2 linked regions of the Saccharomyces cerevisiae S288C genome follow. The gene in region 2 interacts genetically with the main gene of each other region. Each region holds a gene or a part of one and is shown on either strand. Other genes may lie near its edges.

What was found.
Region 1: mutations in YOR072W-B (region 2) and VIK1 together harm fitness more than expected from each alone (negative genetic interaction), as found in Saccharomyces cerevisiae (one large-scale study listed by BioGRID).

Annotation. Positions count from the first base shown.
Region 1 is NC_001148.4:70,563-74,635, reverse strand, and holds VIK1 (Vik1p), read left to right. Parts: upstream 1-1,629; coding exon 1,630-3,573; downstream 3,574-4,073. Other genes in the region: ATG41 (Atg41p), read left to right, coding at 1-327; YAH1 (adrenodoxin), read left to right, coding at 755-1,273; HFI1 (Hfi1p), read right to left, coding at 3,685-4,073. UniProt on the Saccharomyces cerevisiae protein: Together with the minus end-directed microtubule motor KAR3, plays a role in microtubule organization. Recruits KAR3 to microtubules, and together they may stabilize the polymers. The KAR3-VIK1 heterodimer cross-links anti-parallel microtubules.
Region 2 is NC_001147.6:462,712-465,130, forward strand, and holds YOR072W-B (uncharacterized protein), read left to right. Parts: upstream 1-1,757; coding exon 1,758-1,919; downstream 1,920-2,419. Other genes in the region: SGO1 (Sgo1p), read left to right, coding at 2,060-2,419.

The DNA.
Region 1 (4,073 bases), on a different chromosome or scaffold from region 2:
CCTATGCTCTCGCATAGCCCGGACAGATCGACTTATGCCGATGACTTTTCTCAATCTTACCAGCAAGAATTGCTAACTTTTCCGCTATCGTACCCGATTGTCGATGAGTCAGAATGCACGCACACTAAAGATAAGACGGACAGCAACATAATAACGAGTACTGAAGACGATTGCATGTTCGATATGGAATTTAACGGCAACGCCGCCAGTGCAGTTGCTGCTGCTAGTAAGGAATCTAACTCTGCCTCTGGGTTTGCCTTTGCAAGTAACGATGCCTTTGCCAATGTCGCACAACAGAACTACAGACTGTGGTTGTCATCGGTATGACGCATTTTACCACATCTCTACTTGTTCTCACGACCCCTTGCATCGCATATCCTACACATTTTAAATCGGCATTCCTTCCAAGCATATTCTTAATTCCTAATTTTACATAGTTTTTTTTTTTTTTTAGAGAAAATAACAACAATATACATAGAACTTACTTACTCAATTCTACTATATCTTTTTTTTTTGTTACTATTAGTCATGTTTGCATGACTCCATTACATTTTCGTTTTTTTGCTAGCCAATTCTGGTCGTCGGAAAAACTTTTCATTGAATCTTTCAAAGCGTGTAGCAGTTGCATTTTTTTAAAAATGAATATGTATGCAAAATATATATATGTATATATATGCCTAATATACATAATAATAGAAAAAAAAAACCTCATACGAAATAGGCGCTTCTCGTATCTATACTCAACCCGCCCCCAATGCTGAAAATTGTTACTCGGGCTGGACACACAGCTAGAATATCGAACATCGCAGCACATCTTTTACGCACCTCTCCATCTCTGCTCACACGCACCACCACAACCACAAGATTTCTGCCCTTCTCTACGTCTTCGTTCTTAAACCATGGCCATTTGAAAAAACCGAAACCAGGCGAAGAACTGAAGATAACTTTTATTCTGAAGGATGGCTCCCAGAAGACGTACGAAGTCTGTGAGGGCGAAACCATCCTGGACATCGCTCAAGGTCACAACCTGGACATGGAGGGCGCATGCGGCGGTTCTTGTGCCTGCTCCACCTGTCACGTCATCGTTGATCCAGACTACTACGATGCCCTGCCGGAACCTGAAGATGATGAAAACGATATGCTCGATCTTGCTTACGGGCTAACAGAGACAAGCAGGCTTGGGTGCCAGATTAAGATGTCAAAAGATATCGATGGGATTAGAGTCGCTCTGCCCCAGATGACAAGAAACGTTAATAACAACGATTTTAGTTAATGTCTGCATTTTTACCCCTCATTTGTGCCCCCAATTTCTCCTGTGAATAATCTATATATATATATTTATAATTATAATTATAAGGAAACAAGTCAACTTTATAATATACTCTTAAACAATCGTTTCGCGATATCCTCTGTCATGCCTCCACTGCCAGGTCTTTATTGTTTAGTCTCAATAATCGCAATTAAGTTAATAATATTTGCAATTGCGGCAAAGAAAAAATAGGTAAACAAAGAACTGAAAAAACAAAAAAAACAAAAAAACAATGAATATAGAATATGAAATGCCCTAACAACACACACATACACACACATTCTCCTCGCAAAAGCACCATTTCCTGACCAGTGTACTTTATGGCGTCACAGCAAAACAAACACGCTTTTCTTTCAAAGAATAGAATCTTTCACAATCCCGATAATGTGTCCTCATCAAAATCTCGAAACCTTATGGATATCACAAACACGACAAACACCATGAATGGCTCTAGACCTTCGTCTATGAAGAGTTCATTGGCTCTTCCACCCGTAAAGGATTCCTTCCCATCTGTATCTCGATCTGCATCATTAAACATCAACATGAGCAAAATTAAGGACTTAAAAGACCGCCAAGACAAAATAAGGTTCCAAAGACATACTCTCAGGACTCAATTGATTGAGTGCGAAAGAGAAATCAAAACCATCAAGTTTCGAGATCTCAATAAGTCCAGGTTTGAACTTTATAAGAAAAAATCCAAACAAGCAAAGTATCTCAAACAGGTTAGAGATTTGACGCAAAATCTGAACTCCAAGGACGGTGAACGCGCTGATTTAATTAAGAAGAACAAATCCGCTTTGGCAACCTTGCAGGCTGAACTCGACCAGAATCTGATCTTGAAAAGGCAGGAATCTCAAGAATTGTACAATAATAAGCTTATCTTTTGGGAAAATGAGCTGCAAATAATGGAAAATGTCGAGCCTGACCACGAAATCACAGAGGAAATATCTCAGTTGAAGAAAACGCTGCAAGAGCTCAACATAAATTGGGCGAATTTACAGAAGCAAAACTTGGAAAGACAAGTAAACCACGAATCACAATTGAGGAAGGATTTTATTGCATTCAAAGAAGCTAAGTTAAAATCCATGGAAAATTTGACAAACAAACATCGTGAATTACTTGATCAGATAGCCACTCTACAATCGGAAAGTGAGAAGTTACACAAGGAGATCATGGATATAGATAGACAAGCTGAATATTCGGAACAAAACATCTCAGAAATAAATGAAAATATAAAACAATTGGAATTGGCAAACAACCCACTAATAAGCAAATCCTTACAAAACTCGCAAGATTTGGAACATTTACAAAACCAAATGGAAAATTTGAAAGAAATGGCCTCTAAACAGGAAAAATTTTATAATGATACCTATAACACTGTGGAAAAAGAACTCCTGCGGAGTAGGAGACTTGAAAACTCTATTATTGAACAAAAAGGCACGATGCGCTGTTACGCTTACGTGATGGAGCAAAATTTGCCTGAGAACCTTTTATTTGATTACGAAAATGGCGTAATAACCCAAGGTCTAAGCGAACATGTTTACAAATTTAATAGGGTGATACCGCATTTAAAAGTTTCTGAAGATAAATTTTTCACTCAAGAGTATAGCGTTTACCATGATATGTGCCTGAACCAAAAAAAAAATTTCAACTTAATATCTCTAAGCACCACTCCACATGGCTCATTGAGAGAGTCTCTAATAAAATTTTTGGCCGAAAAGGATACAATATATCAAAAACAATATGTGATCACCTTACAGTTTGTATTTTTATCAGATGACGAATTTTCTCAGGACATGCTCTTGGATTATTCCCACAATGATAAAGATAGCATAAAGTTGAAATTTGAAAAACACTCAATTTCTTTGGATTCCAAACTTGTCATCATAGAAAATGGACTCGAAGATTTGCCCTTAAATTTTAGTTGTGATGAACACCCAAATTTACCTCATTCTGGGATGGGTATAATCAAGGTGCAGTTTTTTCCTCGAGATTCAAAAAGCGATGGCAACAATGACCCCGTACCGGTGGACTTTTATTTTATCGAGTTAAATAATCTGAAGTCCATTGAACAGTTTGATAAAAGCATCTTTAAGAAGGAATCATGCGAGACCCCTATTGCACTTGTTCTGAAAAAACTAATTTCTGATACTAAATCCTTTTTCTTGCTAAACTTGAACGATTCAAAAAATGTCAATAAATTATTAACGATTTCAGAAGAAGTTCAAACACAACTTTGTAAAAGAAAGAAAAAGCTCACTTAAGCTCGGTCACATTATCGTCTTTCTTAACACAGCCATTTAGATATGAAACAAATAAGGTTTATAATCTTTCAATATAATTACAACATACCGCATACACACACTTTTTATACATCAATCTTCCGTTAAGATTCCTTTAATTAACCAATTTAATTCATGCCTTGTACCAACGTTTCTTTCATCCAAAGGCGTGAAAGTCGGCTTTTCATTTAAGAAGTCCGGCAAGTCGTCAATATTGCTCTTCATATCTACTAGTTCATCATCGTTAACTAGCCCTAAATTAGTTAACGCATAGTATGAACCTGAAGGTTCAACCAAATTCGGAAATATAGATAACGAATCATATATGTCTTCATTCGTTAATGATATCGTTCTGTTTTCATGTAACTCCTCATTAACTGCTTCGCCAGCCTTTGTAATGCTGCTCATTGATATGTCGCCAATATCGTCCTTGCTACTGTTATTGCCGTTATTAATACTTTTGGCTTCATCGGCACATTCAT
Region 2 (2,419 bases):
CAGGTCCCAGACTTACAACAAGGTAGATAGGGGGGCGCACCTTGTCGTCATGAGACCCATTTCGTAGAAACTTGAATTTGTTGTTGTTACTTCTGTTTTCAAGTAGGAGTAACGAGGCCGCGTACAATTTGCCAGTGGATTTGTCGCCTGCAGCAGCGGCCGCGACGCGACGGGTTGATCCAATTTTGTGCTTGCTTCTTCAACTGAATATTTTGAGTCCACTGCATGTGGAAAACAGAGTTTTCAGTCAGTCTTGTATGTATATTATTCTCTTTAGCTCCAGAATTTCTGCTGTGCTTAGTAACTTCTTGCCGTTGAGCTGATTTTAGTAGTATAATTTTTTTGCAACTCTACTGATATCAAGAGCAGTGATATGTGCTTTAATGTTGGCATTTCTTTCAAGCCAATCACCTTCTACCATTGGTCACGGTCTCAGTATATTTGTCGTAAATATTAGTACTCTAGTCTGGTCAGAGAAGTGGCCTTTCTCCCACCAAAACGTTGTTGTTCTGTCTTTTTTCTTATTATTTACTATTTATTGGATTTATCAAAAATTCCTCAGGAACAAGATTTAATATTCTTGAAAATCCTGTATGTCATAAATCATGAGCTTGGAAATTGACACGAAATATCGGATGGCACTACTTGATGATCGTTTTTATCACTACCGCTGTACTTTAATTTCATAATTTATTTGGTGACATTTCTCTTGAAGATCTGGCAAGATGTACACGGGGAGCTCCTTCAACTGTTAAAAATATTTTTAAAAGTAAAGACGTCACCATACTTTTTCACCATAAGAACAATTACTGGTCCAGATTAAGAACGGTTGGAGTAAGAGCCAATTATCATTCATTGACTGGTATTTCCTTTTGAACTATATTATCATATAATAGGTAAGAAGATGGCAAAAAGGAAGGAGAAACAGTGGTCTGATGTGATAGGGAAGTAAATGTCAACAAATACCTAACAGTACTATCTGATCGAACAAAGAAATTCCACCAAACTGTCAGTAAATTTATTTAATGAGCAGCAAGGACATAGTGCACAACTAGCACTCTACTTCGATTGGGTTATTGAGGAAGAGGATAGTATGCCCGGAATTTTCAAGCATTTACATGATTATGGTTTCATTGGGGTGCAAGAAGACCCAGCATGATTAGATTGCTATGTACTCATTATATAATATATCTCCGATGAATATATTTCCGAAAGTTTACTGAAGGCGACCTTGGATAAACCATAGTTTTACGGCAAATACACCATATCACTATTTTCTTTCTATATAGCTTTGCTAAGGCTTTTTTTAGTGACCGAGACAAAGAAGAAAATTTTCCATAAATGAAAGACCATTGTTTATTCCGAATCAAGTTTTCCGAAGAATTGTTGTATTACACAGTCCAGAGACAGCAGAATCTTTCAGAAATTTTAATACTGTTGTGACAGCATCTTGTCTATTATTTATTGGATACGCAAAACTCATTTTTTTAAAATTTTTTTTATAATTTCCTTTAAATAAAAAGGTTAAAGCTGGGAAAAATGCATCTAAATAATAAACTAATGATTTAGTTTCCCTCATTTAAAATATCTAAGAAGGACAGAACTTTGTTTGGGGTACTTACCCTTGAGTATTTTTAGCGATTATTCTTGGAGTTCTCAGCCAGAAGATTAAAAGAATATATGTTACTGAATGCAGTGTGATACTCAAGACTAAGTAGTCTTAACAACAAGTTAACAAGGGCGTGTGGTCTAGTGGTATGATTCTCGCTTTGGGCGACTTCCTGACTAACAGGAAGACAAAGCATGCGAGAGGCCCTGGGTTCAATTCCCAGCTCGCCCCTTTTATTTTTGATTATTTATTTCCTATTGGTCGGGTAACAGATTTTTTTTATTTTTTTCAAGGCCCTTTTGTTTTGTAAACAAAGAAATTTCACAAAGTGAGCGTCTACTAATATTGATAATGCCATTTCCACATTACAACTACTGCTAGGCGCAGGGTTATATTACTTACACACGCATATATATGTTTAATTGGGTATAGAGGGGTTATTGTTTGACCATGCCGAAGAGAAAAATTGCTCCTAACAAGGAAAGCAGCAGGCGTACGGTCTCCCACGATGATTTAACCCCACAAATACAAGAATTTCAAAACCTAATGGATCTCGAATCGCAAAAAGTGGAAAACATCAGACAGTCGTATTCGAGGCAAAACTCCCTGCTGGCCAAGGATAACTCCATATTAAAAATTAAAGTTAATAGCTTGGAAAAAAAAATAAGCCAGCTGGTACAAGAAAACGTGACTCTACGATCTAAAACCTCTATAAGCGAAGCTATCTACAGGGAACGGTTAAGTAATCAACTACAAGTCATTGAAAACGGTATTATTCAAAGATTTGACGAAATTTTTTATATGTTTGAG